Linked DNA regions of Caenorhabditis elegans. The protein of the gene in region 2 interacts with the protein of the main gene of each other region in a pairwise test. Each region holds a gene or a part of one and is shown on either strand. Other genes may lie near its edges. The genes, in order: exoc-7 and F17A9.5.

Region 1 (18,089 bases), on a different chromosome or scaffold from region 2:
TCATGCTCCAATCATTCGATGGCATTAATCGTGCATCCACTGGTTGGGTTGCTTTGATGTTGTTGAGAGACGTCGAGAAACGAGAGTGTTTTGATGTTCCAAGCTTGATCAAAGCAATCATGAAGTTTCGAAATGGATCCATCTCCACCTACTATCAATTCTGTTTCTGCATGGCTGTTTGCTTGAATATCGGAAAGGATACAAATTGGTGCGCAAATGTGAGAAATCTCATAGGAAATAGTTTTCTTTAACAAAAATAACATTTCAGGATTGCAGCACGGCACTGACTGATTTGATGGAAAAGTTCGGCAACCGTAAACTGAATGAACTCGGGAACTTGGCAGTCTAGAGAAGAAAAATGAGCCTGAACTGAGAACTATTGCAAAATAAAATGTTTGTAGAATCGTGCTTTTCTGTTATTTTTCAGTATTTTCAGCAGACTGACTATGAAAATCTGGTTTTTTTTAATTCTACACTCTGAATGAGTAATAGTATTTTAGTCTCGCCACGAAAGTTTCCTGCAAAAAATTGATAGTGTTTTGCGCCTTTGAGGTTACAGTATCCAAACCCAAATTATTATAACATTTCAAAAAGTTTTCGCGACGAGACCATTTCTATTATCCAATGAGGCAACTAGAAACATCAAAATGGAATATTGTAAGTTCTCAGTATCAAGGAATTTGAAGTGGCTTGTGAGAGGATTGCACATCTTTCGATGCACCATATCCGTAATTTTAATGTGTTTCAGAATGCGAGAACTGGCGAACGGAATCAAGACAATTGAATCAAACCATTCTTCCTGGCAAGACAATCTGATGAAGGAGATCAAAGTGGCATTGCGTAAATGAAGAAAATGATCCTCACTTGAAAATAAATATTTTTTTAATCAGCTTTATTTTTAGAACATCAACTATTAACCTAGAAATATACACCCGAACTAGTAATAAAATAATTCAATTAATCACAATAAATCCTTCGAATGTGTGTCAAACTGATGGAAGGCTGCAATATCCGCTGGTTTCAGTAGGTGCTGGTACAACCGAACTTTTCCATACATTGGCTCCGAATAGTAGGTGGCGCGATGAGTTGGTTGAGTTGGATCAACGGTAACACGATCAGCAGACATTTGACGGAGCGGTTGTTGCAAGCTGTTTTCATCTGAAATTAAATTAAAAAATTAAATTTCGTGGGAATTAGTTTGGAAAACTAGGTTGAAATTGGGAAATTGTTCGATTTTTCTAGGCAAAGCTACATAAAGCTTATTTAAAATATTTAAAAACTACAGTAACCTAATAAAATTTAGCTCGTGGTCACGGCCTCTCTTCATTTCAAAAAATAAATAAATTGACGTGATGAACTGTCTCTGCGTCTCTCATGGGCGAGAGAGTGAGCTTTTTGAGCCGAATTTGTACTGAAAACGGTAAAATAGACCGGAAACGGCTGATAGTGAACAAAATCTAATAAAAATTTACTAACTGCCTGATCAAACACATATAAATTATATGAAAAAAAGGGCAAAATTGTAAATCACCTATGAATACGCCCACATGTGAAAGTTCAAAATCAGTGATTTTCCAGACAAAACTGTTTAAAGCCGGCGATTCGCTGATAAATCTTTAAATTTTTTATTAATATATTGTCAATTAAGACTAAGTGTGTCTATTTTTATGCAAATATCTAGGTTAGTGATGTTCACGACGCCGGCAGACGGAAAAACAAAAGGCTACCTCGAAAAATGGATTTTTTTTGGGACCTCTAGTGATCCTTGAAAAGAGAAATTTGAAAATTGAAGACCACCATTTTGTAGATAATTTTTTTATGATTATTTTCTGTTTTTGATGAAGGTTTTTTGATGAAAATTGACGTCGGCATCTTCAAAACAAGAATTAGGCCTGAAAACTCCAAAAATCGTTAAAAAACGACAATTTTTGGCGGGTTTTCCTAATTTTACGAGACGCACCAAGACATAATCAAAAATTCAACATCACCAAAAGTTGCAAAATTCTCTAAGGAAGAGATTAATATGTCAATCACCTGATTTGATCAAAAACTGATTGAGTAACTTCAGTTTTAAGACAATGCGATTGTAATTTTTGGACAACCGCAAGCATAATAGTTGATGTGAACGCTTTTGAAAACATATAACTCGGTAACCAGAAAAGCTATCAAGAAACTTTAAACTACAAAAATAATCTTGATAACACAAGAAACATTTTTTATGTGCATAATACTTGGCTATTCTCACAAAATACATAGTTTAAGCTATGTAAAGATTCAATGCTTTGAAAAACTTTGATAGAGATACCACGAAGGTATTCGAAATTATCCGTTTGCACAATCAACTCAAAGAAGCAAAAAATAACAAAGTATGGATTAATACCGTCTGATACCTTTTTCATATGTCACTTTTTGTTTTTCCCGTACGGGATCCCGTCTTTACAGTCGGCAACCGACTGAAACCGAGGCCACCAATGAATAACTCAGGTTGTGAACCCAGTCGGGAAAGTCTCATCAGTTTTCCATCAGTGTACGACAAAAAATATACCGTATTTCCTCTATTAGTTTTGCACCCCTATTAGTATTGCACCCCTACGGATCAATCGAAAATAAGTCATGCAGACTCTATTAGTCTTGCACCCCTACGGGTCAATTGAAAATTAGTCTTGCATTCAAGACTAATAGAGGAAATACGGTAATTGGGTACGATAGGAATACGGTAGGTTTATAAGTTATGTAAGTTTCTACAAATGTAACTACTTTAGTTTCTCTGTACCAAACTTTGAAGAATTTTTTATTACTTTAAAGATCACTGAAATAGTGAACCGTTGTCTACGAGATCAAATATGTCCAAAAATTACCATTTGGTATCGGTCCTAACAAAACAGTATTTATACCAAAGTTTTTTCTTCGTCAATATTTTGAATTTAATTTAAAAACACATATATTATTCAATTTTCAATCTCACGTGAGAGAGTGTGAGAGAAAAAGAGGAATTTTGAAATAAATGAAATTGAGAGAGGCCGTGATGGTGAGAATATTTTTTGCTTTAACTTACCAATATACATATAATCTCCTGGAAAGCAATTTGTGATCAAGTTCTCTCCTATTGTCTTGATTGGCTGCGGACAAATTGGCTTTTTCACATTTCCATATTTCTCACAAAGATCCCAATCTTTCACCTAAAAATAACCATGTAATTTTCAGGAAATAAATCTATGAAACCTGTGAAAGGCGGGTAAGTTCATAGACTTGTGGTGGAGGCAACGCATATTTTCCGGCATAAGCTTCATCGACACACTCTTTCGGTTCAATCCAATTATATTCCGACATTTCCGATGTACATAGATCGATTGCTGGTTCGTCTAGAAATGTTTTTATATTTTCATGGGCAACTGTTATATTGTTTTTATGAAAAACTTTAAAATCAGATTTTTTTTCAAATTTGTTGCATTTTGCTCATTTCCTTTGAGTTGTTTGGGCATTTGAACCCGTTTTCCATTATTTTCAAACTCGTACCATCCACGAGCATAAGATAAAACTTTGTTAGAAATCGTCGTGGATAGTTTGCTGGAGTGATAAATGTATCCCATTCGATAAGATTATCTGCACAAATAGTTCCGGATAGCTGCTCGAATTTCGATGTATCATTTACAATATCCGCTTTCAGACTCGTCATATCTGGATTATTCGCCGACGTTTGCCATCCATTCTTTGTCGAAAGCACTCCAGATTCTTCGAAAAGCTCTCGAACAGCAGCAATTCTGAATTCATCGCCGAGTTTTGCATCAGTTTTGTCGACGACTCCACCGGGAAAAACCATCGTATTTGGCATGAATTTGGCAGTGGTGCCACGTTTCAGCATGAGTACACGGCGAGTGGTTTTGCATGCTGAAATTCAGGTTTTTTTTATTGAGAAAAATGTTAATTTTTTAATAGCTGTGTGAGAAAAGAAACTGGAATTGTTTTTTTTTTGAGCAAAAAAATTAAATTTTTTGACAGCATGCAAACCGCAATCGTGTCATGGGGTACGGTAGGTTACGGTATGAGATATCAGAACCAAGGCTGGGTCTTTTATGGTATTTTTGCACCACAAAATCCAAAAATTGCTTTCTGTACTACGATCATTTTTCATATTTTACAAATATTCTTTAGCAAAATTTGGTTTTAGTGATTTTTTTCCTTAAAAAAATTACAAATAAATCGAAATTCGACATTTTTGGTTTTCATTTTTATTTTTTTTAATGTCATCAATTTCGACATAATCGGTGAAAATAATTGAAGCCATTTGAATTTCTGATTTTGCCGCCAATATTATAATACCTAACGAGCCCCAACGTTAAAGGACGAAGCATTTCCATTTAGCGGTTGAGCGCGATTGCACCTTGATTCTGCGTCTCCATAATAATATTTTATAAGTTACGATATCATCGTTTCACTTTTGAAAAATTTAAAGAAAAATACCTAAAATTATGGAAGCAGCCGATCGCCAACTTGAAGTCACTTTTCCGATACACATACTGAAAAATGACCATAAAAATATAAAAATCACAAGAAAATTTAGGAATTTAAGCCAAGAATAAGGCTGTGGAACATATAAATACGATATGGTTGAAGTAATAAATTCTATTAACAGTGAAAATACATGAAGCAGACAATAAATTAGCAAATTAACATATCACAACAGCGAAAAAATTATGATAATATTTAAAATATAAGTTAAATCAAATTTAGTTAATTCTAGCAGATGAGAATAGATTTCGAATAGCCATTTCAAAAGTATTTTCAGTATATTTAATTCCTTGTGGGAAGACGTGTAGGCGTTGGCAAGTGTCCAATAGTTGTGAGTAATTCTTCCAGATTCGAGATTTCACTTGTGTTTGAACGTTGGCAGATATCTTTGGATCCGAAATGCAATAGTCCATTTGTTGAGCAAGTACTTGGTCGAAGTCACGGACAAATGTCTGCAAAAAAATAGAAAATTAACTTAAAGGGACAATTTTTGATTTTTCGAATTTTTTAAAATCGAAGAACAAAAATTTTTGGAAATTTTATCCGATTTAGTTTATATTATTGAGAGAAAACATACAATTTTCTTCAAAAAAGAAAGAAAAAATACCAAAATTTTAAGCGTATTTTTGAAAAGATGGAAAATTTATTCCGAAATATCGGAAAATCGAAAAAACGAAAAGCGAAAAATCGAAAATTTTTAGTTTTTCGATTTTTTGAAAAAGTACACCCTCCTGATACCGAATATCAATGGGAAAAAATTCAAAAAAATTTTTTCCTGATTTTATATTAATTTTTTGAATATCCGAAAATCCACTTGTTTCCAATGTTTTTTTTGCAAATTTTTAACTTTTTGAATATTTTTCATCCTTTTTTATTGAATTTTCATAAAAGAAAAATATTCGTCCGATTTGAAAATCGCCAAAATCGTCGTTATTTTTTTTCGAATTTATTACATTTTTTTTTGGTTTGTTTGGTATTATTTCGGCTTTCTTTAAAAGTAAATTCATATTATATTCCCGGTTTATTTTTTAATTTAAAAATTCCAAAACCTACGCTCATAATCTGTTTGGCCATTTGTTTATCCTCTCCAATACGATCAACTGATTTAAGAATCGACGCGATTCCATTCCAACTCTTCAAATATTCATTTGTACACGTGGCAATTTCTTCATGATAAAATGATAAAATATTTGAATTCATTTCAGTAATCGCTGGAAGAAGGCCATCTTGCTCATCAGCCAACGTTTTTGCAATATAATTATAGTTGTTGAGCAAAAATATAGTTGCAAGTGTTGGATCATCGTACAGATTCGCTTTTTTCTTCAGCATACTTCCCAGAGCAGAGAGGATACGGGCAAATAATTTTGGAAGTAGAAGATTTGTATTGGAGCCTTGTGGAGCTGTGAGAGCAAGTACGTGTTGGGTTACTGTAACACGATGAGCTGTCAGGCTTGACAGGAAGTTTAGAGTCTGGAAAAAAAAACAATAAATGGGTGCATCAGGGATTGGAGGCAATTGTCGTTCGGCAAATTGTTTTGCCGACAAATTCGGCAAGTCGGCAAATTGCCGGTTTGACAATTTGCCGGAAATGTTGATTTTTGGCAAATTGCTGATTTGCCGAACATCAATAAGGACGGAACTGTTTAGAGGAATTTTTTATAAGACGGAAACACTTAAAACTGTGCATTTTTGAAATTTTTCGCTTGTTTTTTCTAGATATCTTCATAAAATTTGCTTACTTTTCAAAATAGATGTATGAAAATTCATAGGATGCGTAAAATTTTGTAGATTAAAATATTAAAATCTGAAATTTCTAAAAAAATTTGCAAAACCAGCAATTTGCCAATTTGCCAGAAATTTTCAGTTCCGGCAGTTTGGTGATTTGCCGGAAAATCGTTTGCCGCCCCCGGGGTTCATGAAAAATGAAATAGAATTACAGAGGCAGTTGTCGGATGAACATTTCCATCTGGTGGCACAAATTTTGTAGTGTCTTCGTTCAAATTCTCGATCACTTCATTCACATATGAAGAACATTTTACTTGTAGCTGACGCATGAGAGAGTCGAATTGAACATCTCCAATACTGTTCTGTAATTTTTAGGTTTTTTTTTTTGGAATTTTTCGACTTTTTGGAAAAGAAAATCAAATTTTCAATAATTCTCTAACAAAACCGACAAGGTTTAGATAAATATATATAAAATTTTAGACTTTTTTTTTTGATTTTCAAAGATAAAAACTTTCGTTTTTTTAAGTCCAGAACTGGGAATTTTTGTATCTTTTTTAATTTTCAGTTTGTTACAGATATTTTCACTTTTTTTTTTAAATCAAAAATTATTTTTCTTTTTAACGAAATCATCAAATTTTCGATAAATTTAACCGCTTTTTATCTCAATTTTAAGGAAAAACAAACTGAAAATTTTCATTAAATTTCGGTCATTTCTCCATTTTTTTGAAGCAAGTTTCATATTTTTCTCATCAAAACTCGATGTTTAATTTCCGCTAAACATTTTTCGAATTTCTCAGCGAAAATTCAAATGTTCAATAATTTTCATTTAATTTTATTTTTTGTCAAAGAAAATTCTGTTTTTTTTTCTGATAATCAAAATCGACAAATTTTAGATAAATCTATATAACTCGTTTTTTTTTTCGATTTTCAAAAAAAAATTTTAAGCGATTTCTTTAATTTTTTGAAAAAAATTGTTTTTTTCTCACCAAAATTATAAATAAATTAAGAATTTTTGTTTTAAAATTATTTATTTTTCTTCTCACCAAAGTCACTAATTTTTTTTGTAAAGTCTATAAAACCTTAGTCATTGTTTTCAATTTTCACGAAAAAATCAGAATTTTCGTTAAGTTTTTTTTTCTATTTTTTTTCAGTAAAAATTCTATGTTTTTTTTTCCAAATAAAAATTTGTCAGTTTTTCAAAAATTCAAACCACCATACACTTTTTTCATTTTTTTTTTGGGGTCATTTAGAGTGGCAACAAATCATACCGTAGCCAAGTTATGGAATCTTGCATAATTTTGAGACAAAAGATGAAGTAACGGAAGAAGTGGAACAATTCCAATATCTTTCTCATTTACTACTTTTTGAGTTTGAACAACTGCGTAGGCCAGTGGTCTTGACACGAGTTCTCGGAATACTTGGGCTCTTTTCGATGTGTCTGGAATTGCTTTAACCATCAACTTTTCCTCCAATTCCAGTAGACTAAGAAGTGCAGAGCACATGGCATGACACGCATCCAAATCAATTAGGACATCTACTTTTTCGGATCGCTGGACGGGCTTGCGGACTGCTGTGGATCTAAAAAAAATGTTTTTTTGAATTTTTGAGAAATTGAAAATATTTGGTTTTCGATTTATCGAGAAATAGCTGGAATTTTTGTTAATTTTCTAATAACTTTTATTTCGATTTTTCAGTTTTTCAGACCAGGGCTGAGACATTGTTTTTGAATTTTTAAGAAAAATTTATTTTTTTTTTGGTTATTAAGACTAAAAATTCAAAAAAAAATTTCATTCTTTCTTGGTTTTTTTTTTAACAGGCATCAATTTTTTTTGGCTTTTTTTTTTGGTTTTTCGCAAATTTCAATTTTTTTATTTTGGTCAAAAACACTTTTTTTTCCAACAGCCGTGTTCTTTATCGAGATGTGAAAATTTGCGTCAAAAATACCGGCCTCAACACGACAAATTGTGAAAAATTATGCGCCTTGGAGGATTACTGTAATTTCAAACTCTAGTTCCGAAAATGTTCATCGATTTTGTTATCGTTTGTATCAGTCCGATCTGTCGAAATTTAAGTTTTTTAATTTTTTAAAAGCTTTTCTGAAGCTTTTTTCAATTAAAAAAGTACTTTTTTTTAATCGAAAACTATGAAAGTTTGAAATTACATTCATTTTTAAAGGTACACATCTTTTTTGTTTTTTATCAGAAATGTGTCGAGACCGGGTACTGTATGACTGGCGCACACAAAAACACTCAATCTTACAATTTACTTCTGGAAGCAAGTTGCGATGATTTCTGTGCTTCTGCGATGCTCTTGATATTCTTCAAAATTTGTGCTCCACGAATTTCAGAGTAATAACCCAGAAAATTATTAGGAACACGTGGCTGCTTCAGGAGCCAAACTCCAATTTTGATTATCGGTTCTTCATCGGTCATAATTTTGATTTCACTCAATCTGGGTGTCAATTCATTTTTTACAAAAGGTGCCGGATCCACGGTAATACTATTCTTCAGAAGAAAATTCTTGTAAGCTTTTTCAAGCATTGTATATCCAGTGTCCAGTGTGATTCTCATATTATCCGTTTGACTTCGATAATTTGGATGGGTTTCGAAAAATATGATTGCTTGCTGCAGACTTTCCATATTTTCGAGATAAGGGTCGAGATCGACGGACGGATTTCCACTATTTATTGCATTCTCAACAGTGCTAGTTTTTCCGTAAAATTGAAGAGTAGCGTCAATTGTATTGATGAGACGTTGGATATCTGGAAAATATCTTCTTTTTTTTAAAAGAAAACTGCCAAATTGACATACTATGCTGTTTCTTTTGCAATTTCCCGTTCGAAATATGCATCGGGAGCACATTCTTTTCAAGAGAGCTCAATCTCTGATCAAACTTTTCAACAACTTGTTCGATTCCTTGTCGTATCTGCGCGCTTTTCGCGATGTTCTTTTGAAAATTCTGTAGCCATTCTTCCTCCTGAAATGATTTAAATGATCAATCTTCTTTTTCAGCAAAAACAAACCTGAGCTAGTTTTTTGGCTATCGATTCGGCAGCATTTTGATCACTTGCCATTGGAAATATTCGAGAATTGACAGAGAAAAATGGAAAACAATAAAAATAATAAACAACCAACATGTGACCTAGTTACTTCCTAGGCCACGCGGCCGCGTACTCCTCGAGGACAAAATGAGTTGCCACGCAATTTTTGGAATTTTTTAAATTAAATTCAGGTTCCAGGTTTCTATGGTTTCAAAGTTACTAAAATTGTTATAACCGATTTTATTATAACATGAATTTCTCGGTGTTATAGGTAAAATGAACCCCGCTGCTTTGTCGGCATTCACACGATCTCTACTATTCAATCGATGCTCAACATCTTCATTTTGTAATTCAATCACACGAAATGCCGTCGCTTTCTTTGCCACTGCAGCTGCTACGCCAAAAATCAATGTAAATGTGGGAACTATTGGACACATCGATCACGGGAAAACAACTCTAACATCAGCAATCACAAGAGTTCAGGCTAAAAAAGGTTTAATTAATTTTTATATTATTCACAAATGAATTCAATTCTGCAGGTTTTGCGAAGCATATTAAATTTGACGAAATCGATAAGGGAAAAGAAGAAAAGAAACGTGGAATTACAATCAATGTCGCTCATATCGGCTATGAAAGTCCTCTGCGTCGATATTCCCACACTGATTGCCCCGGTCACTCGGATTTCATCAAAAATATGATTTGCGGAACTTCACAAATGGACGTGGCTGTTCTTGTGATTGCTGCAACCGACGGAGTCATGGAGCAAACCAAAGAACATTTGATTCTAGCCAAGCAAGTTGGTGTTAAAAATATGGCGATTTTCATCAATAAAGCGGATTTGGTTGAAGAAGATGATCTGGATTTGGTAGAAATGGAAGCACGGGAATTGTTGAGTCTGCATGGCTTTAATGGAGATGCGACTCCAGTTATTCGAGGTTCCGCTTTAAGTGCTCTAGAAGGACAAGATATTTCGTGTATCGAGAGATTGATTGATGCATTGGATTCACTTCCAGAGCCGGATAGAAATGAAAAGGATACTTTTGTAATGCCAATTGCATCGAAAACTGCTATCACTGGGCGAGGTAATTGAAAAAAGAAATATAAGGTGTGCCAATCAAGAATTTATTTTGCAAGAAAAAGTGCAAGAAATTTCAATAAATGACATTTTTTGCCACCCCTAATATTTAAAAAAAAACCAATTTAAAATGTTTTTCAGGAACAGTCATCGTCGGTACACTGGAAAGAGGTGTCTTGAAAAAAGGCGATAAAGTTGAAATCAAAGGAGACGGGCAAACTCTTCAAACGACTGCTTCGGATATCCAAGTTTTTGGCAAAAGTGTGAAGGAAGTTCGTGCTGGAGATCATTGTGGAGTTCTGTGTAGAGGAGTTAAAGGGGATACAGTGAAGAGAGGAATGTGGGCAGGACATCCAGGAGCAGTAACAATTACGAATCGAGTGAAAGTGGAACTTTATCTTCTCTCGGAGGCTGAAAATGGCAGGAAGATCGGAATTCGGACTGGTTTCACAGACAAAATGTACTGCAGTACTTGGGATCAAGTTGGTCGTTTCGATATGAGCAATGAGCTTCTGATGCCAGGAGAACATACTTCTGCTACAGTACTCTTGATGAAAGACATGCCACTCAGAAAAGGAATGCCGTTTACATTGAGAGAAGGAAGCAGTAAAACAACGATCGCTAGAGGAATCATCTCAGATCTAGAGGATCATGTGGCTGTAGAGAAACATAATCTTAAAAAGTCCGCTGAAAAGATGTAGTTCTTTATATATTACAGTATTGATTTATTTTAGGTTAGATTTTATTAGCTTGTTAACTACTATATCTTGTTTTGTTTTTGTTTTCTTTTGTCGAAATCTTCGAATAATATTTCACTACTTTTATTGTTCAAATAATACCATTCTCCTATTAATAGCAGTTTTACCTGATCTGCTCATTAATATCTTTATTTTTAATTTTCGTATTAAATAATAATTTATTTTTTAATTCCAGTTTAAAATGTCGGGGAGAGTCGACGAACAGCTCGACGACTTCCTCTGGGGAAAAACTGATGTTAAGGATTACTTGAAAAAGTAAGTCGCCAAATTTTGTGGATTTGGGTCTCGACACGACAATTTTTGTTTAATGAAAAATGGTACGCGCCTTTAAAGAGTACTGTAGCGTCGATTCTTCATAGTTTTTTGCAAAAAGTATATTCATTTATTTATTTTTTAAAAACTAAAATAGAACAACATAAACTTTAACAAATCGTAAGAAAAACTATGAAAAATCGATAAAAACTTCGCAGCATCGAAAGTTTTAAATTACAGTATTCTTTAAAGGCGCACACTTTGTCGAAAGATGGAGTACCGCCAGTAGAGAAATTTTTAAAAAACATAACTGTAGTGTTACATTATATTAATAAAAAATCAAATCAAAAATGTTTGCAAAAGTTGTTATTTCAATTGACTTGAAATTTCAAGTAATAAAAACTTTTTTGGAAGTCGTCGATCAAAAAAATTATCTTCAAGTTTTTTTCTAAGTATATGTACAAATTTTCAGGGTAGCAGAATGTGACTCATCCGTAGCTGAATCATTGAATCGAAAAGTCGCTGGACTCCATGATACCCTCGACAAACAGCTTCGTAAAGGAGTCGAAACTAATCTTCCACGACTACTGGAGCAAGTGCCAGCTCTTCAATCACTTGAAGATACTCTACATTCAGTTCAAATGCGAATGACATCAGTGACCAAAGAATCAAATCGACTCGCCACGGTTTGTGATGATCTTACCACGAAGCTTCGCGAACAAACTCGCCAACTCGAAGCAACGATGCTCAAAAGAAACATGGCTTCAGATGCCCAAAGATGTGAAGAACTTTTTGAATCTCTTGAGAAACGAAGTGATTTGGTGAAGAAGGCGGAGATCACATCGGAGATTAAGGAGATACTCAATGATAATAAAAATTTGCGAAAAATTGGATGGTTGAAGAATATGGTGGATACCAAGTTGAAAGTGGCTGAAAATGAAGTTCGACGCAGTGGAGCGGAGGAGTTGAAACGAGGTTTAGCGTCATTGAATAGCTCGATGGTTGTATCTGCTCAAAGAGCTCTTCGAACTTTGAATTATTTGGATTCAGAACTTGAAGTTTTGCTGTCCTCCTCTGTTGTCGATCTGGATAAGAAATTAATGGAATTATCAAACAGCTCTCCAGAAGTTGCTAATAAAAGTCTCCCTGTAGTCGCTGCAACAATTCAATCACATCTCGAACAAGCGGCTATGCTGGGTGAAGTCTATAAGAAGAAATTCTCTGAAAAGTTGGCTCGACTGATTCGTAGCAGAGTTCCACTCGATACTCCATACGCTTTGCGGTTTGTACAGCAATTGGGTAGAGTATTCAATTCAAAGGGAGATAGTTCACCCGCTTTGAACGATTCTTTACGTCCACTCAAGAACTCTCTCCTGACTCATTCACTGGCTCGTTTGCACAAACTCGTTGAAGAAAATGACTTCTCTACAGCTCATGCCAATGCATTTGTCGATCTTATCAATTCTGCAATGGAAGAAGAACATCGAAAAGTCGACTGGGACGCGGAGTTGAGCCAGAAAATGAGCAATAATATTGAGAAATGCATTGAGATTATTGCAAAGAAATTGGAAGCCAATCTTCATTTACAAAGAGATGATTTACTCCTAGGTGAGCTGTGAAATTAATACTTTTTTTTGTTGATTTTTTTTATCAAAAACAAAAAAAAATTCCGAAAACCCGAGAAAACGATGACGATATTTTCGGCGATTCGATAAAACTTTCTGAAAAAGTCCTGTTTTTTTATTCGAAAATTTTTCCAAATTTATAAAACTTTCAAAACATTTTTTTTTGAGACTTCTCTAAATTTTCATTCTTCAAAAATTGAGTTTTTATTATGATATTCGAGCTTTTTTGAGTGTACAAAACAAATATTTATTTTCCATACTCCACATTTAAATGACCAAATAAAAAAACATTTTCAGGAGACCGATTGACTGCAAATCAAATGACAAACTATCGTCTCATTCAAACCGCTGATGGTATCACAAAACGTTGGCCAGCAGAATCGAAAAGTGTGACAGCGATTCAAAAAGAAACTCTTGATGCGATCGTCATAGAAGTCAAAAACTCGATTCGCGCGATTGTTGCAAGAATGCACGTTGAAACACGCGGAATGACAAAATCCGTGGCTCCGTACATGCAAGAATTGCTCACCTACATTAATCATATCGACATGCACATGGCTCACGTTTCACGAGCAGTTTGTCATTCTCACGTACTCTCACAAATTGCCGAATATGTCATTGACTCATTTATTCTAAATGCCACATTAGTCAGATCACATGCTTCTGATGAACGTCAACTCATTGTCATTGACTTTTCAAGGTAATAGGGTGCTTAAACTGAAAATGTTAAAAATTTTTCAAAAAAAATTTTTAAAAAACGTTTTCTTGCAAAAAATTACACTCGAAATAGAAAAAAAAACAATTTTGATCAAAACATGTAAATTTTTCTAAATAATTTTTCAAACCTCAAAAAATTTATTGTTTTTCTCATTTGTCGTCTTCTAAAAAATTTCCAAAAAAATATATGATTTTTAAAATATCGAAAATGTTTTTTTAGAAGAAAAAAACCTCTTTAGTCATTTTTATCATCAAAACCATTTTTTTTTGATAAATCTATAGTTTTATCGTATTTTCCTATTTTCTGTGGAAATAAAACCGAAAAATCGAACAATTTTATTAAGATATCCTAGAAAAAAAAATTTAAGAAAAAATTTTGAAATAGCAAAAAAAAAGAACAACAAAAAAACCTGATTTTCCCTGTGGTTAGCAATTTTTATATTATTTTAAATTTATTTTCCAAGTTGTCGGTTAGACATTTTAAATTTAAACTCAAAACGGCGCGCTGAATCACAAAAGTGTTAACTTTTTCTGTTTTTACATCGGTTATGATTCAGCGCTTTACATCTTTGCCGCCATTTTGTATTTAAATTTATTTATTTAACTTGTCTAACTGAAAACTTATCAAAAATGTTTAAGTTTTAACCGAATTCAGAGGATATCAAAACAAAAGAAATACGTTTTCAAACCTTTTATTAAATTATTCAATAATTTCGTCAGAAAAATTACTTTTTCAGATTACTCGAAGCCGTTCGTTCAATGGAATGGCCTTCCAAATATGGTGACACTACTCGACTTTTGGATCTTTTCGGAAGCGATGTTGATGTGATGCTCAGAGTTGAAGGTGTCAAAAAGTCGATTTTAATCCAGCTACTAGTATCCGATAGCCCTTCAGAACTTCCACTTCCTAATCAATCTGTAAAATGGACGGTTCGTAGTTTTCCACAATACTATGAATACTCTAAATATGAAATATTTATATGTTTCAATTTTCAGCCCGAAGAATATGTAAAGTGGTACGAAGAGCACACTGAGCTGGAAGTTCTCGCATTCCTCAACGGACTTGTGTCTTCGTACAATAGTTCTGTCATCTCACGTGGTCAACAACACTATGTCGATCATTATCCTCGTATTGTGAAGCTTCTTCAAAATGCTTTCTAACCTAAAGGACACTCGGAGAATTTAACAACGCATGGGTTTATGTATTTATGATTGTGATAATATTTATTTATTTGGGTGGAATAAAAGTGTATTCGTTTATTCCTACAATTTCCATTTGTTCAGTCTCCACGGTTCTCAGCCATTCTTCATATTTCTATTCTGAATTGTTATGTGTTTTTTTCCAATTTTTTCTTTCCAGAAATATATTGTAGAATTCAAAATGTCGCCCATCAAACGAGAACCAGAAGAAGCATGCCTGAAGCCAATGCGATTTGAACAAGAAATACCCGAAAGGGTAGATGAGCCGGAAGAGATGGAAGTTCAACCAGAAGAAATAGAGGAAGAAGTAGAAGAAGACGAAGGTGATGATGATGAATGGGAAGATGTAACGATGGTGGTCACTGTCAATGGAATTCTCGACGCGGATCTTGTTAGAGATGCCGTCGAGAGAGATTTGATCAAATTGCGGTACGCTGAAACGGATGCACCAGTTTTACAGGTAAAATGGAAATATACAAACTCAAAAGTAAAATTTTATGAATTTCAGATCAACAACTCACTATACACGGCATCCTGGGAGCAAGATCTCGGAACAAATATGGTTCTGCAGTCAAAAGGAAAAGAGATGGAAGTGATTTCGTGTACATCGACCATGATGACTGCAGAAAAAGCCCTGTTGACCTCGTTAAGCACCGAAGGATCTACACTAGCCGCCAATGCAGAGACTGCTCCGAAATCTGATCTCAGTCGAACTCAACCACGTCAACAATGATTTTCAAAATATAAATTAACATGAAGCTCTGAAATAAACTCATATAACTGCTAAAATAAAACTGTTGCTTTTGAAACCAACATTTGTTAGACAACCTGCGTCTCACAGTCATTTTTCAATATATTGGCGCCGCGCACACACAAAGAAGAAGAATTCGTCCTCATGGCATGGCATGTGCAGTCAGCGGCCACCCTGTGTAACCACTGCGTATCGCATCTTTCCACGTGTTTTTGCAATCTTGCTGTCACGTTCATTTCCTCGTACAACCATCTCTTCTACCCCCGTTGCCTCCTCCACCATCTCATCTCAATTGTGTCGTTGCCCTCCCTCTCCCCAAGTCTTTCTGCGTCTCTTAGTGCTCTTCGAGAAAAGAACGAGGAGAGCTGTGAGACGCTAGTAGGAAACGCATTCTCAATTCGATATAGGCACATTGAGAGAGAGCGAGCGCCGTTTCGACGTCTTCTAGCCTTCACATCATCCAGACGACGTTCACACGCACACACAGCCAACCCCACCCTTCTGACAACGAATAGACGACGAAGAAGAGAAGAAGAAAAAGAAGAAGGTACCCATTTTTCATTCCCTTTTTGCCTCCACACTTCACTATTATCGATTTTGTGAGCGAGCTCTAATGTTTCAACGCAAAGTGGTATTGCCTAAAAAGCGGTGAGAATTTGCTTCAGACAGAAATTCGTTTTTTTTAACAAGAAAAATCCGGTTTCAATTGTCGTAGAAGGTCAATTTTTACTTTCAACGCTCTTCATTGACGGAAAACTCGTTTTTCTTTCAAATTTTAAATTACAGAGGCATTTTACTCAAGGTTTGTTTTAATTTAAATTAAAAATAAATTTTAAAATAGAAATATGGATAATATAAAATGTTTTCTTCAAAAAATGCACTCAGGTTCACCAAAAAATCGATAATTAAAAATACGGTCGCAAAGGAGCGTCGTTAGCTGCTAATCAATGGTCTTAAAACGAAATCTATCGATTTTTGTGTACTACACACGGACAAGTGCTCCACCGTTATTTTTTGAACGAGTGCGTTGCAATTCCATCCCATTTTGACGTTTTTCTTTTTTTTTTCATCAAATTTTTTAGCATTTAAAGTAAAGTCAATGATAACCTGCAAATAATAATGTAAAATTCATTAAAAACCGAGAGAAAAAGTCTAAAGTCATAAATTTTTGATAAAAAAGTGATTTTCGAAACTAAAAATCATTCAAATTAAAGTTGAACCTGATTCTTCAATTTTTATTATATATTAAAAGCTTGATCCACTCAAATAAAAGGAGTTTTTAATTGAGAAAAAAAGCAAATGAAAAAATCGATAATTAAATTGGGCGCCAACCTAGATTTTAATATGTTTTTGTTAGAAATTTGTATATTTTCATCACTCTCTGACTTTAAGCATTCGTATTTTAAGGAAGTGTGAGCTTTCTAATATGTTTTTTATTAAAAAAAACATGTTTTTAACAATCTCCCTGTCATCCCCATCACCTAATGCACTCAAATAATCAATAATCACAATACTTTTATTTTTTCTTGCAGAACAGAAATGGTCCAAACGAGACGAAAGACAGCTGCAGCTGTACAGGACGGTGGTGCCGTTAAGGAGAACAAAGCCAAGCCACCTGCCCCTCAAACGCCTACAAAACGAGCAAAACGAGGTCGTCCCCCGAAAATTAAGACTGGTGAGCGAATGACTATACGGAAGATTGAAAATTCACGTGGAATACTTGCAGATGCCAATACTTTGAATACGCCAAGCACTTCTTCCAACTTGGTCGATGACAAACTTCTCATTGAGTCTGAATCACAGGTAAATTGATTCTTTTCTATTCAAAAATTAATCTAAACTATACATTCCAGGACTCGATTCTCACAAACGAAGCCGACTCTTTTCTGGAAAAAGAAGTGGAAGAAATCGAAGATAGTTCAGATATACTTCCCGATAAAATTAATTCTCCAGAAAAACCAAGTGTTTTGGTGAAGCGGAGATCGAGTACGCGGTTAAAAGTGAAGACTGATGAAGATGAAAAAGATGTTCCTGTGAACATAGAAGTAGCCGTTTTAGAAGAAAAATCAATTCAAATCGAGCCAACATCTCCCGCTCACCCGGAAGATCCTCAGGTGAGCTTTTTTTAAAAATATGTATTAATCAAAATTCCTTCATTTCCAGCCTTCGACTTCTTCTCTTCCACTGGTAGAACCAATTGAAGACATTGTGGAGCCAAATGAGCCAACAAGCTCTGCCGATCCTCCAGTATCAAATATTAAGGATGAGGATATTAAAGAAGAAGAGCCACTGATTAAAAAGCCAGCTTCCGATGAGTCAGAATCTATGGATATAGCTAACTCTGAAAGTGGAAATGATTCCGATTCAAGTGAAGCTGATCCTAGGACGATACCATCTTTCTCTATACCTCTTCCCGACACACCACCTCCAAATTTTG
Region 2 (15,321 bases):
CAAAATGAATAAACATGAACAGGTGAGGTATAAACTATTATATTTTCAGCCAACAACCTACGAATCAACTGAACGGCTCTTTGAGCAAAACAATAACAATAGTGAAAAGGCAGAGGTAAGTTGAGCCTCAGATTCTTGAACTATGATGTTACAAGCTTCTTTATTTTTCAGTCATGCTCATCGCGAGACAGTAGTCATGATTCATCATCCCCGACATCAACTGGAGGAAGCAGTCGGGATAACGTCATTGTCAGAAATGAATTGAAACGGAAAAAGGTAAATCTAAAAAAAATCATACATACACATAACAATAGAGTTTCCCTGGTAGGCAGCAGGCGCACGGGGAACTTCAGGCGCACGGGGATGCCTGCAGCCAGTTCTGCATTTGGCGTGAACTCTGGTATTTTGGTATTTGGATAGTGAAAATTTGGTAGTTTCTCTTCTTAATTGATTTGCTGAAAGTCCAATTGAAAACTGAAAAGAGCCAGACAGACACTTCTGTGTAACATCTCCAAAAGTTATGTTTTTATTCACTCCCAAATTATGACTAAATCTAGAAGATGCCTTAAACATTATTCTTATTTTAAATTTTAAATAATTCTTAGTTCCCATCCCAGAAATATACCATTTTGAGTAAAAATTGAAACAAATTTATTTTCAGGATCAAGTGAAAGATGTAGCATATTGGGAACGACGACGAAAGAATAATGATGCTGCGAAACGAAGTCGTGATCAAAGAAGAATGAAAGAAGATGAAATGGCTCATAGAGCAACAAGTCTAGAACGTGAAAATATGTTGCTCCGTGTAGAATTAGATCAACTGAGAGCAGAAACTGATAAGCTAAGAGCACTGATTTTGACGACACCTACAACGTCTATTAGTGTAAGTTAATTGATATCCAATCAAAATATAAGTGGTTCTTCAAAATTCAAATTTCCAGATTCCAATTCCTCTACAATCTTTACCACTTCTCACTGCACAAACGGCTCCAGCTTCATCAGTGATAACTACAAGTCAGATGTATGCACCTCTTCCATTAAAAATTCCAAAGACTCCTTCACCATCTCTTCTTCGGAGTACAGTGCTAGTCAGCAACTCTTCTAAAACTTGATCATTTTTGAAATATTACTCTGAAATTATGCATTCATGTTTGTAATTATTGATTAGTTGAGCCAGTACTCGTAAAACTCGAAAAGATATCTGTGATTTGCAAAGCTAACCGATGTAATAAACGTTCATTCACATTTTTGTTCAAAAGGTTCTGCATTTAAAGTACAAAAAATTATGATTCAATAAGAAATTGTGACCGAAAAAACATATCAGAAAAAACTAAATTTGAACAGCCGCCGAAAAGACACCAAATGGACTAGGAAACCGGGACGTGGCCTAGCGTTCCGCGAGTTGTGTGGATTTACGAATAATTTATTGCGTTCTCAATTTGAATGATTTTCCTTGTTTTCAGTTGTTTTTCCAATTGGTTTTTCATTTTTCTTGTTAAAATTAAATAAAAATATTCACAAGAATCAAGATAAATTTTCAGATGGCCACACAACAAGCGAAAATATTGTGTTGTGGTGATGTGAATGGAAATTTTGTAGAACTCATCAAGAAAATATCAACAACCGAAAAAAAGGCATGTTTTATCGATTTTTGGGATTCATTCAATTATTTTTTTTTCTTTAGAATGGCCCATTCGATTCACTATTTTGTGTTGGCGAGTTTTTCGGCGACGATGACGATTCAAATGAGAAAGTTATCAATGGAAATATCGAATTTCCAATTCCAACCTACATTTTGGGTATGTTTAAATACAATGTGAACTTCGAAAATTTGTCTGATTTTCCAGGTCCTGCAAATCCACGCTACAGCTATCTCTATCCCGAAGAGTCGATTGAATTCTCTTCAAATCTAACATATCTTGGGAAGAAAGGACTTTTAAATACTGCATCTGGATTACAAATTGCATATTTGAGTGGAGTTGAAGGATCCTCCAAAGATCTCAGTTGTTTCGATAAAGCCGACGTCGAAGAACTATTAATCCCGTTAGGAACTCAAGTTGGATTCTCTGGGACCGACATTCTACTCACATCCGTTTGGCCAGCAGACATAGCACGTCATTCACACAATCAACCATCTAAACCACAACCAGGATCTGTTTTATTATCAAAATTGGCTGCTCACTTGAAACCGCGATACCATTTTGCGGGTCTTGGAGTTCATTACGAAAGGCAGCCATATCGAAATCATCGTGTGCTTTTAGAACCAGCAAGGCATACAACACGTTTTATAGGTAAATTTTGTATTCAAAGGCTAATAATTAATTATAATTATTTCAGGACTGGCTGCGATCGGGAATCCAGAGAAGCAAAAATGGCTTTATGCTTGTAATGTGAAACCAATGCGAAAAATGGAGAAAGAAGAGCTCACGGCGCAGCCACCGAATGCATCGGAATTCCCATATCGAGAATTGCTGGAAGAGATTGCTGCAAAGTGAGTTGCAACTTAAAAAAAAAAACTTTTTTTTTTCTATTTAAATTTCTATTTAAAAATTTTCTTTTTTTCAGAGAAACCCTCAGTAGAATGAACGGAAACGGACAACGACCCGAAGGTTCGCAATATCGATTTGAAATGGGAGGTGCTGAGGATGGAGCTGGAAATGGAAGAAAGAGACATAATGATGGAGGTGAGTATTTATTTAATTTAAGAAAAATTACATATTACAATAAGATCATGGTTGTTCCAAAGACCAGTTAGGCTTCTTGCTTGATTCCTTCAAAAACTAGAACTCCGTGAATCGGCTTATTTTGAGAAGCCATGCTTTTCATGAATACTGTGTAGTCCTTGAGAGCTTCTTTATAGCGATTTACTGTTTCTTCATTCGAAAAGTCACTGATTCCGTAGGTTGGACTAAAAAAAGAATTGTTTTTAAAACTATCGCATTAACAGAAAAAAAAAAACATACGTTTGATTAGTCTGTTGGTAGGTTGTACGTCCCATTTGTTGCATTTGAGTATTGCTAGCCAAGTTTGTAATTCCAAAGTCATTCTCATCGAGTGCATTTTTAATTGACGAAGCAACTAATCCCTCGATAATTTTCTTTGGTAAATCTGGCTCGGCGGTGATTGGACGTCCCAATCCGATTCCTTGGGTAGCACCATTTTCAATAGCTTCTACCATTGCTTTCACGGTACGGAAGCCACCGGTCAAGTAGACAACGGTTTTCTTGAAAACTGGACGAATCTGAAATGGAAGCTCATTTAAATACTGATTTTAACCAGGAAAAATACCTTTTCGGCGAATTCTAAAAAGAAAGCTTCACGGTTACGAGTCGAATCACGCATATGATGGAAGGCGAGCTTCTCATAAGTTCCACCGGAAAGTTCTACGAAATCGAATCCTTTGTCTTCATAAACCTGGCACATAACTTTTGCATCGTCAACAGTTGTTCCCTGCTCTTGGAACTCTACCGAGTTTGTCTTAATTCCCACCATAAATCCAGTTGATTCGGGAATTTCAGCTCGAATAGCGTCATAGATCTCAAGGATGATGCGTTGACGATTCTCAATTGAACCACCATACTGATCAGTTCTCTTATTGGTAGTTGGAGACGTGAATTGAGCCAAAAGATAACCATGAGCTCCGTGAAGTTCAACTCCATCAAATCCAGTCTCGTAGGCAAACTTTGCAGCATAAACGAATCTATCAATGATTTGAGTCTTGATTTGCTCTGTGCTCAATGGAACAGGCTGTCCGAATGCAGTGAAACGCCGTTCACCACTCAACTTCACATCAGAAGCCGACCACGGATTCGGTTCTACTGTAATTGGAGTCTGACGGCCTCCGTGAGATAATTGAACAACGGCAAGAGCTCCGTCCTGCTTCATGTTTTTTGCCCACTGAGTGAACAGAGCTCTACGTTCTTCTCCATCTCCTTCTTTGAAAATTATGGCATTTCCAGCAGATTCCAAATTAGTCTAAAATTATATAGAACGTATTATTTTTCTAAACTCTTCAGTGACTTACCGGGTCGACAAGAACATTTCCAGTCAGAATAGTACCAAACTTTCCGTGTCCCCATTTATCGTACAAGTTCAAGATGAAGTTTGTAGGAAGACCATGCTTCTTTGGATTTTCCGGATCATAAGTGGACACTCGTTCGGTTAGTGCAGCTTTCAAAAACCGATTTTGAGCAGTTTTCCCATTTCGGAAATTGAGTTGCTCTCCAAGAATTTTAGAAGAGACAGTTAAATTATCACAGAAGCGACTGGCAGCCATTTTTCGAAGAAATGAAAGAACAAAATGTTACTTTTATAGCAGTGTACACGCAGGTCAAATATAGTGCGTTTTCTGATCGGCTAGGTTGTTGGGCAAACAAGAGTATGCACACCTTATGAAAAGACGCAGAGGCAGAAAGAAAGTGTCTAACCAAAAAGATGACAACGTTTGCTGTTCTATTGTGGTCTCACTGGTCGAGTGATGACAATTGTGCACCTGGTTGCCTGAGAAACGAAGAAAGATCTGTGATCTTATGATTTTATGGCTATTTCGAAAGTAGAATCTGAATTGCATTTTGTGCCCAGTCACAAAGTGGAGACGCCGAAGTATTATATTTCTTCTTTCTAACAAGCCGATTAGAATTGGTTATGATACACGTCGCTGAATAAGTTTTCTAAGAGGCAAAGATAGCATTACGAGAAAGTTTTATAAAAAGTTTAAAACACCTAGATTATGTAAAATAGGTTAAATGTTACGGGAACACAACATGCTGAGAATGCGTATTGGGCAACATATTTGACGCGCAAAATATTTCGTAACGAAAACTACAGTAATACTTTTATTGACTACTGTAGTCGATTTACATACTCGAATTTCGAAATGAATTTCTAATCGAAAGCGAATTATTTTTTAAATTATTTTAGTTTTCGCTACGAGATATTTTGCGCGTCAAATATGTTACCCAGTACGCATTCTCAGAACTTTGCGTTTCTGTAATACCAAGTGCAAATACAGTATTTAGTTGAATGCAATTATTGCTTTCGGTATTTTTCCTTCACTAATATCGAGTGCTGCTTGTTTCACATGTAAGCCCAATGCTTCAGAAAATCTTTGAACGGTGTGCTCATCGCTGAAGTCGGTGATTAGATGCATTATACTGAAAATGATTAACTTTCCAAAGTATCAAAAACTACTTTGGATCATACTTTCCGCCTGCTTTTTCCATATTCGTACGCCCCATTTGATCCATTTGTGTGCCACTTGCCATTACTGTTGTTGCAATATCATTTGGATTGAATGAGTCTTGAACTGCTGAAATGGCTTTTCCTTCTAGAATCTTCTTTGGCAGATCTGGCTCCGCTGTAATTGGGCGCCCGAGACCAATTCCTTGAGTTGCATTACAGGAGATTGCGTTGATCATAGCAGAAACTGTTCGGAAACCTCCAGTCAAATATACCACCGTTTTATTGAAAACTGGGCGAATCTGAAACCGTTACAATCAATTTAATTTGATTGATTGTGAAAATGGATGACTTGGCAGGGATCCTAATTCGATTAAAATTTGGAAAGTACGAATGTATAAACTTTGACTACGTGTTTTCAAAAACCTTTTCTTACATGATTTTTTGAAATATTGTTAGTATATAAATAAATAATTACCTGTTCGGCAAATTCAGCAAAAAATGCCTCTCTCTTCTTAGTCGACTCTCGATCCCAGGTCCAGTTGAGCTTCTCAAATGTTCCTCCAGTTAGCTCCACAAAGTCAACTCCTTTGTCCTCATATACTTGACACATAATTTTAGCATCTTCCAAAGTAAGTCCTTCTGATTGAAATTCCACTGAGTTTGTTTTAATTCCCACCAAAAAACCAGTTGATGCCGGAATTTCAGCTCGAATAGCATCATAAACCTCGATAACGATTCTCTGACGGTTTTCCAGCGAGCCTCCATACTTGTCAGTTCTCTTGTTAGTTGTTGGAGATGTGAATTGAGAAAGCAAATATCCATTGGCTCCGTGTATTTCGATTCCATCGAATCCACATTCATATGCAAATTTGGCAGCATAAACGAATCGATCTACCACTTCTGTTTTAATTTGCTCAATTGACAAGGGTTTCGGCTTTCCATACGTTGTCATACGTGTAGCCGATACAAGTTGAACATCAGAAGCTGACCAAGGAGTAGGATTCACGAACTCTGGGGTCTGTCTTCCAGCATGAGATAGCTGAATTACGGCAAGAGCACCATCTTGTTTCATTAGCTTAGCCCAGTAAGTGAACAGAGCTCGACGCTCATGACAATCTCCTTCCTTGAAGATTATAGCATTTCCAGCAGCTTCCAAATTAGTCTGAAAAGGTCAGTATTGAAATGAATGGATTTTTTTGTTGAAAAAACTTACTGGGTCCACTAGAACATTCGAAGTTAAGATCATTCCGAAATTTCCATTTCCCCATTTATCATAAATATTAAGAATAGTATCAGTTGGAAGACCGTGCCTTTTTGGCTCATTTGGATAATAATTGGATTGAATCTCGGTGAGGGCAGATTTCAAAAATCGATTATTAGTTTCTCGACCATTTCGAAATTTCAAATGTTCTCCAAGAACATCTGGGGAAACGATTTCAGCATGTGGGAAACGACGAAGAGACATTTTGGTTCTTTGTGTCGACGAAATGATTGTTGTATTTATACTCTTGGCCACATTCTAACTACAATGCATGTTTGACCTTATCTCTTGGTAATCGTTGTGTTTTTGGGTACTCTCTCTTTTCCACCACATGAAAATTTGTTGTTCTTTGATTAAAATGCGACCTTTTTCTGTATTTTACGGCCTAGTAATTTTGTTTTTTAAACCTGAAAATGAAAGTAGTATTAAAATGAACACATTTGAATTAAAAGTTAAACATTTAGTGCGTAGGGATAGAAAAGGATAAGTACCTGTTTTTGTTACGAAAACAACTGAAAAAAGGAAGTATAGAAGATCATAAAACATTCTTCGCCTAGTTAAAATACATTGTAAGAATATAATGAAATTTTGGAAAAAAATAATCCAAAAAATATTTCAAAGGCTTTTATCGCCAATTGTACCGAAACAAAAAGTTTTAAAAATTTTTTAAATAATTATATTTAAAAAAAAATGCAGACATCTATTACGGGAACACAAACTTGTAAGAATGCGTATTGCACAACATATTTGACGCGCAAATATCTCGTAGCGAAAACTACAGTAATTCTTTAAATGACTACTGTAAGTCATTTAACGGGCTCGATTTTTGAAATAAATTAAAACAATCTATTTATCGATACAATATTGAAATTAGGCAAAAAATGAGAAAATAATACGAAGAAACGAAGGAAAATAACTGATCGCTTATCGAACCCGTAAATCGACCGAAACGCTACAGTAGTCAGTTAAAGAATTACTGTAGTCTTCGCTATGAGTTATTTTGCGCGTCAAATCTGTTGCACAATACGCATTCTCACAATTTTGTGTTCCGTAATATGCACATTCTTCAAAAATACAGTTTTCGAGTTTTTAATTGTATTGACTCGAAAAGGTTAACAAACATAAAAAAACGTTTTTATAGGAAACGATGGACCACGAAACAAGCAACCAGTTGGACCATGTTGGTTCTGTTTATCGAATGTAGACGCCGAAAAGCATTTGGTGGTCGCCATTGGAAATAAATGCTACGCAGCCATGCCGAAAGGACCACTCACTGAAGATCACGTTATGGTTCTATCTGTTGGACATATTCAATCACAAGTTTCTGCTCCAGTTGAAGTTCGTGATGAGATTGAAAAGTTCAAGAGTGCGTTCACATTGATGGCGAATAAGGTAATTATTTAAAACAGAAATTCGTTTTTTTAGCCTCAAAATCTGTATATTTCAGCAAGGAAAAGCATTGGTCACGTTTGAACGTAATTTCCGCACACAACATTTGCAAGTTCAAATGGTTATGATCGATAAATCATCTTCGAAAGCATTGAAATCATCGTTTACAACTGCTGCTGCTTGTGCTGGTTTCGAGTTGGTCACAATGGGTCCTGATGAAAGTGTAAGTTCGGATTAATTATTTTACAATGAATAAAAGACAACGTTTCAGCTTCTCGACATGGTCAATGAAGGATGTCCATACTTTGTCGCAGAGCTTCCTGATGGATCAAAGCTTTTCACTAGAAGTATGAAAGGATTCCCATTGCATTTCGGACGTGAAGTTCTTGCTTCTACACCTATTCTGGATTGTGAAGACAAAGTTGATTGGAAAGCTTGTGTACTCGCGAAAGAGAAGGAAGTCGAACTGGTCAATAAACTGAAATCTGATTTCAAACCTTTTGACTTCACTGCTGAAGATGACTCCGACTAATCAAGGATTTTAATTTTTACGATCTGTTATTTATTTTATTGCTTTTCTAAATATTTATTAACTTAATTCCTCTCTTTTTGCTTGTTTTCTTGTGAAAAACTTTAAGATCAGTTTATGAAGAAGAAGAATTTTAATGCACACGAAAATGTTATTTGAAAAAAAAATTACTCTCAATTTGAAGGAAATTGGATAAATATGTGAAAAGACAAATGTAGTTTTCTTTAATTCTGAAAAAAACTAATCTTTCTACAATAATTTTTATTTAAGCAGTTACAAATTACGGGAACTTACAGTTCTATTGCGAAAATATCTCGCAGCGAAAACTACAATAATTTTTTAAAAATTACTACTGTAGTGCATGTGTCGATTTACGGGATCGGGGTCTAACAAGGAAGAATTATTTATTTATCGATAAAATATTAAAGGAAAAAATGAGACTATAATGCGAAATAACGAAGGAAAATGGAACATTGCTGTCAATATTCAAAAACAAATTCCTATGCTACAGTAGTAAAACTTTCATGAAATATCCTCATTCTTGAGATACATAAGTTTCACGAGAAAATGCCAAAAGTGAACTCACAAGGTGTCGGCTGCTGTATCTATTGATTTCAATGTATTAAAATTTTGAACCATGTGTTATCATGCAGAACAAATGCCACGTGGTGTCAGAGTGTCCCATGTCGGTTTGATCTACGTAGATCTACAAAATATGTGGGAGTTGAGACGCAGAGTTCTCAACTGATTTCGCATGGTTAAGAACGTGTTGACGTTTGGGGAAAAAATTCCCCCATTTTTTGTAGATCAATTCCCGATGGAACAGCCTGAAACCACGTGAAATGTTAGAAAAAATTTTGTTATTTGGGCGTTTCTTTCTATAGTTCCTAGATTGTGAGTTATACTTATTTGAAAACTAATAAAAATCACCAAAAAATCAAAACCGCATATACTTTTGGCCAACACTGTACATACTCTCCAATAGCAACACATGAATTATTATTGAAAAAATACGATCGCACAATTTTCTCATAATTTATTTTTGATTTACCTTGTTGAATAGGCTCCTTCTCTTCCTCCGGCAAGACAGCCGCAACAAAATAGCAACGGCAACAAGATTGGGGGCGGAGTCAAGTTCAACAGGTAGATCAAAAATAAATTTTGAGAAATTTGTGCGATCGTATTTTTTCGATAATATCTACTTCAGGATATCTTTTTATTATTTTCTCGAATTTCACTTGTTTCTAGAAAATATTGCTTGCAAATTTCCCTAACAATTCTCGATTCCGAAATGGTTTTGTCGTCGAAATGGTCGAAATGGAAATGATTTTTTTAAATAGCTCAACTTTTGTAAAACCTAATTTCATAGCTTTCAAACGTGACATTTATTTGGATACTTACTATTAGGACTAGAAAATGATATTTTTATAACTGAATTTCAAAATGTGGGGTTATATATAATACACAAGTACCGGGAAAGTATTTACGTGACCAAAGGTTATCATAATGGCATCAAGACGTATTATATTGATTTAAACTCTTTTGCATGATTTTAATTTATTTCTGAATTTCTCCACTAATTTCATTAGTGTGATCGATACTCTCTGCTACTCCTCGACGAGCACAAAAGGTACGTTAGCCAGAAATGTAAATTAGATACTAGGATACATCGAGGTTCCGTTATTGTATTTTAGATTTAAGTAAATTTCAAGGAGAAAAATTTTCACTCCAAAAACGAAAAAATTTTTGAGGAACCCATTTGAATTGTTTCCAAATTTTGTCGTTTTTGAGAACCTCAAACACATACAATTTATTTTTTAAAATTTAATATTACCATTTCTTTTGAAAACGTAATATAATTTCCATTTTTAAGAATGTCCGCCGCTCTACGTGAAAATGAGCTCATTATTCGAGCATGCATCCTGTACGAGTCTCTCGACCACAAACCAATTGAGGAGTCATACGAAAACTTCTGTAGAAAAGTTGGAAAAGACGTGATGACGTTCTACGAATTCGATTTTCTGTTTTATCAATTTAAAAACGGGAATCACGACCTGTATCATGATCGCAGGTATGAAATGGCTTTTAGAAGAATAAACACTGGTTAATTCAATTTTTAGTAAGGATCCGAAACAACTGATGCTGTCGGAAATGCCAATCGACGTGATGCCCGATATTTTGAAACACGTGAGTGGTGGTGATAGGTAAGATTTTGTTAAATTAAACCTCAATTTCATAATTCATATTCAGATTGGCTGTTCGAAAAGTGTCCCGAAATCTTCGCCACATTATTTAAACCATGCCATCAGGATTTCATCACATTTCACTTATCAGGGATAACAACTCGTTGCAGATGATTCTTAATGATGCTGAGGTTTTGTACAGTCCAAGAGATGGTGGATGCGATGTCACGTATACTCATTATATTCAACAGCCTGTAGGTGGCGGACACTCAAGTCATATTAAGCAAGCATTTATTGAAGGATTTGATTATACGGATATATTCTACAATGATTTCAAAATACTGCTGAAAAACAAAAAAAAGTGTGCCTAGACGATTTCACGATTCGCATGGTCAACGATGAAGGAACGACTTCTGAAAAAGATGTCGAAAATATCACTCATGCCATTGAATCATCAAAAATATTTAACGTCGATTGGGTCAAAATTGATGGTTTGAGCTTTGCGGAAATCTGTCCAATCTTGGCACAAATTCAACCTACCAGCCTGCACTTTGAAGTGAAAAATGGTACGATTGGTCACGAAGACGTTGTGAATCTTAAACAATGGAAAAAAGCCGACATTTTCAATTCGTATACCTACATGACCATTCCGATTGAGAATTTTCTACATTTTAACCATATCTCCATTAGTTTGACAGAACTCACCACTGATGACGCGCTGAAAATTTGTAATGTACGTTTAATTTGTATAAATTATTTCAATAAAGTTCATTTTTAGATGCTCGACTCCTCGGAAACTTTTTATAAAGCATCGATCACTGTGAGAGACTTCAATTTGATGGAAATTGCGAGAGTCTTCGATCCGGAAAATGAAATCATCAACGAAGAGAATGGAAATGAAGAACTCTACTACACAGCCGCAGATGGCACAAATTTCAGAATTCATATCTACTCGGAACAGAACGAAAAAAATTTGAACATTGAAGTATGTAGCAGTCTCGGAAGATCAATTCCATAATTACTCGAATTTTTCAATAAATGTGTTCATTTTCATGTAGTGAATTATAAAATTTCAATACTCAACAGAATAACACATTTGACGGATTATTTGAATGTGCATTTTATTAATTTTTAGTTTAAGAAATGTGGTTTCTTCCAAACTGTCCGTGGAGAGAGTGCAACGGATTGATCAAAAACTGTTACGCTTCTGTAAAGGAGATCTTTAAATACTTGCATTCTACCAGCAGTATGGTTTCTCACAACCTTGATAGAAAAAGTTGAACGGACATTTTTTATGCAATCTAATATCATAAAGCCACCAAAGATGCTGAAAGATGCTGAGATGACGAATTGTATAAATTGAGATGAGCGGTCGATATTTTCTCTGAAATTTGAAAGTTTCTGAAAAATCGAAAAAGAAAAAAGATATTGTTTCGATAAGTTTTACTATTCCCTAGTTGGTTTGCTGCTGTGCACAAATAAAAGCATCAACTATAGTTGGTATACTTATAAATATTTATTGGAAAACTAATAGAATGTTGAACAACTCAAGAAGTTAACTCCAAAACTGATGTTGATGAAGAACACAATTAAAAAAACCACCAGTCAATTGTGATGAGATACGTGTCAAACCAAAACTTCAAAATTATATATTAATTAAACCCTTCAGATTTTCAAAGAATATTAATTGTGGTCCATTTTCACTGAAGACGTAGCCTTGCGCCTTCTCATATTCGTGAAATAATTGATGATCGTGCTTTTGCAAAGATTGAGAGTACTTCCCAGTTGCTTCATTTCCAGCGAGTCTGGACGGGGATTGGTCTCGAAAAAGATGCTGAGTTGGCTTTTTTGATCCTGCGACAGCAAACATCGTGCTCGCGGAGTTTTTGTTGTCCTGGAAATTGGTAACTTTATTGTCAAAACTTGGGGTTCCTTGAATAAAGTTTGTACCAAATCGCACGAAAGCATTGTCAGATTATTTCAAAATTTTGGGTCAAAGTTTTTGTAAATTGCTAAAATTTTTCAAAAATATCAACTTTCCAAGTAATGTTGATATGTCAGATCTTTTTTATTGTAAATTAAAACATTCAAACAACTTTTGAAAAGTGTTACTTTGATATTTTGTCGTTCGGAATCTGACGATCCAAGCTTTCTTATTTTGCCTCATACATATCTAGTTGGAAACTCCTAATATTATTTGAAATAAAAATTTCCAACAACTTTAAACATACTTGTCAGCCTTCTCCTTCTTCAAATCAAGCTTCCAAATCTCTGCGCGATCATCCTCAGACATTTCCAGCCAATTGAACATTCTCTGGTAGACCGTTCTTCCCATGGAAACTGCGTCCCATGGTTTTGGATGATTCAGCAGTTCGGACAACGATCCTTGAGTTCTGTTGAGAATGTGCTCCGCGAAATTTGTTTGGTTCATTGGTTTCGAAATTTCAATATGCCTCTTGTTTTCGGAAAAGAAGACAAACATCTTATCACAGAGATCTTTTAAATCGAAGTCAATCTCTTTTATGATTGTTGGATTATCAAGCATCGCAAGAGCTTCCTGCTTGCTGTACTTTGACTGTTCAGAGTTACTCGATGAGGGAGATACAGCTTCTTGTCTCTGTTTAAGAGGTGCTCCTGAAAAACGTTTGATGTTACATGTAAATTGTCACTTCAGACTTACTCTTCTGATACGGAGCTGCTCTTGTCTGGGAGGGCTGGGTCTGAACCACTTGAGTATTATTCTGAAAAATTTAAATAAAACATCATTTAATTCAGTTTCAAAATGTGGTTTGGTTTTGTCTATGAATAGCTCAATTATAGTACGGGAAATACTACCAAGTGATATGTGAAATTTTGTGGTTTTCCCCAAAAATACGGTACCTGGTCCCGACACGATAAATGTTCGTAATCTGCAAAGGGGGTGTGCGCCTTCAAAGAGTACTGTAATCGCCAATGCTCGTTGTGGCAAATGTTCCCGTTGAAATCAATTTACTAGACTTCTTAAAGACCCTTTTGCGTTTAACAAAAATGTACCGTGTCGAGACCAGTCACCATATTTTTTGGACAAAACTTAGCATCTGTGTAATAAGATCCCATTTGACTTACCTCCTTCTTCGCATCTATATCATTGTCGAGTTGTGAATACATGGTCATTTGTTTTGGAGCATCCATTGTCACGCAGTGCCCCATAACTTGTGGAATCGTAGCGTAGATATTGAAGGGGGTGTCGAGCAAAAATGGATAGGCAACTATTGGAGTTTGAAAATGGCTTGTCAATTCAACTAAATGTTCTACTGGAACTGAATTTGAGCAACCATATTGAGTGTAGTTTGGCGTGTAGGGAGAATTGGTGAAACACGAGAAGTCGGACATTTTACCTGAAAATTTGAATTTTTGGATGTAAATATGTCAATGGAAAACATTGAAAAGAAATGTTTAAAGATTACAGCCAGTTTAAAACAGTAGTAAAAAAATAAAGAGGAAAATGATAAGAACAAGTAAAATATGAGGGCTCGAGATCACGGTATATTTCTAATGATATATTTTAACGAAGATATTAACATGGAAAATATATACTCCAATCTATAAGTTGACAGGCAGAGGTGCCAAATTCAATAGTCAGGTGAAGACGAAGAGTGACCAAGAAACAAGAAAATGAATGGTCCCACCAAGAAACGCTGACTCTGTGGCTGTAAATGGGCGGATACGGGAAGACGGGGGTCATCTCCACACCTCACTCTGTTTAACTGGTTTTATAACTGGAGGCGATACAGAGGGCTCCATTTTGGTTTGATCTACGTAGATCAACAAAAAATGCGGTAGTTTTTTTGTTGATCTGTTCTTAACTTGCATGGTTAAGAACGTGCTGAGGTCAAATTTTTTTGAGCTAAACACTCCCGCATTTTTTGTAGATCAAACTGTAATAAGACAGCGTGACACCACGTGGCGATGTATTTAGTTGAGAGAAATAAATACTTGGTTCCCCTAGGTTGAAAGGTTCGATTTGGCGGTGTGACTATTTTTTGTTGTCACTTTGATAAAAGCCTATACAAGATACGTTTTGTATTTTAACTGAAATTTAAAAAGTAAGATTTTCATGGTGGTAAAGTAAAAATTGACAGATTTCGTACGATGGGAGGGAAACTTCTAATTTGAGAATTCATAGATAACTGGATAAGATGTATTTTAAAGAATCTATGTGCAAATTGAGAATTTGATTGAACATTAAAAAAAAGACAATGAGAACATATAACAAAACTAATTAACTTATTGAACTGCAACCCGAACTTTTTTTTCACTAATTCACTACTCCCGTTGGTTTTATATAAATGTTTTGAAGACCCTCCTAAATAATAATTATTAATAAGTCTATAGTGCACACTGTTCCTTCATCTTTTACTTGCATTTACATTTTGTTTTGAATTCGAATAATGGTATCAATTATTTTAATTAAATTTATTTGTTAAAATATAGTCTTCAAAGTTTACCGTCAAATGGAACAATTCTTCGAAAAACGGGCGAATTAAAATAATGTGATGTGTCAAATGATATATTGGGGAAAACATGGGATATACATATCAGGGGACTTTTTCGAAGACAATGAAAGATTTCGTGAAGTATCATAGAACATAACATTTGAAATGGTCCTTTCGTTTCGAATAGTGGAAACTAATCTCGGCAAGGTAATACAACTAAAATGGCAAAACTACCCAATAAAAAAGTATTGATTGATTTGAATTTATAAAAATTAAGCGAAAATGTTTCTACCGACGAATCGT

The links.
Region 1: the proteins of F17A9.5 (region 2) and exoc-7 interact in a two-hybrid assay, tested with the Caenorhabditis elegans proteins (one large-scale study listed by BioGRID).

The regions. Positions count from the first base shown.
Region 1 is NC_003279.8:4,238,211-4,256,299, forward strand, and holds exoc-7 (Exocyst complex component 7), read right to left. Parts: upstream 9,373-18,089; 5' UTR 9,371-9,372; coding exon 9,257-9,370; intron 9,211-9,256; coding exon 9,045-9,210; intron 8,996-9,044; coding exon 8,494-8,995; intron 7,813-8,493; coding exon 7,503-7,812; intron 6,597-7,502; coding exon 6,447-6,596; intron 5,980-6,446; coding exon 5,563-5,979; intron 4,962-5,562; coding exon 4,728-4,961; 3' UTR 4,611-4,727; downstream 1-4,610. Other genes in the region: C43E11.5 (Tyrosine-protein phosphatase domain-containing protein), read left to right, coding at 1-218, 269-349; ndx-7 (Putative nudix hydrolase 7), read right to left, coding at 962-1,158, 3,056-3,179, 3,223-3,362, 3,517-3,888, 4,462-4,516; tufm-2 (protein-synthesizing GTPase), read left to right, coding at 9,551-9,767, 9,814-10,356, 10,491-11,050; cogc-5 (Conserved oligomeric Golgi complex subunit 5), read left to right, coding at 11,289-11,362, 11,832-12,967, 13,282-13,684, 14,439-14,631, 14,698-14,862; C43E11.12 (Transcription factor TFIIIC triple barrel domain-containing protein), read left to right, coding at 15,032-15,361, 15,410-15,634; met-1 (Histone-lysine N-methyltransferase), read left to right, coding at 16,266-16,300, 17,185-17,327, 17,379-17,455, 17,506-17,766, 17,816-18,089.
Region 2 is NC_003283.11:6,106,287-6,121,607, forward strand, and holds F17A9.5 (NADH:flavin oxidoreductase/NADH oxidase N-terminal domain-containing protein), read right to left. Parts: upstream 6,712-15,321; 5' UTR 6,647-6,711; coding exon 6,395-6,646; intron 6,344-6,394; coding exon 5,657-6,343; intron 5,481-5,656; coding exon 5,203-5,480; intron 5,154-5,202; coding exon 5,015-5,153; 3' UTR 4,685-5,014; downstream 1-4,684. Other genes in the region: atf-8 (BZIP domain-containing protein), read left to right, coding at 50-115, 172-276, 662-883, 942-1,112; cwf-19L1 (CWF19-like protein 1 homolog), read left to right, coding at 1,542-1,634, 1,685-1,799, 1,848-2,291, 2,338-2,491, 2,566-2,684, 7,584-7,834, 7,890-8,054, 8,103-8,363; F17A9.4 (NADH:flavin oxidoreductase/NADH oxidase N-terminal domain-containing protein), read right to left, coding at 2,752-2,908, 2,964-3,241, 3,289-3,975, 4,025-4,276; ceh-49 (One cut domain family member), read right to left, coding at 12,227-12,437, 12,775-13,177, 13,224-13,284, 13,649-13,915; ttn-1 (Titin homolog), read right to left, coding at 15,291-15,321.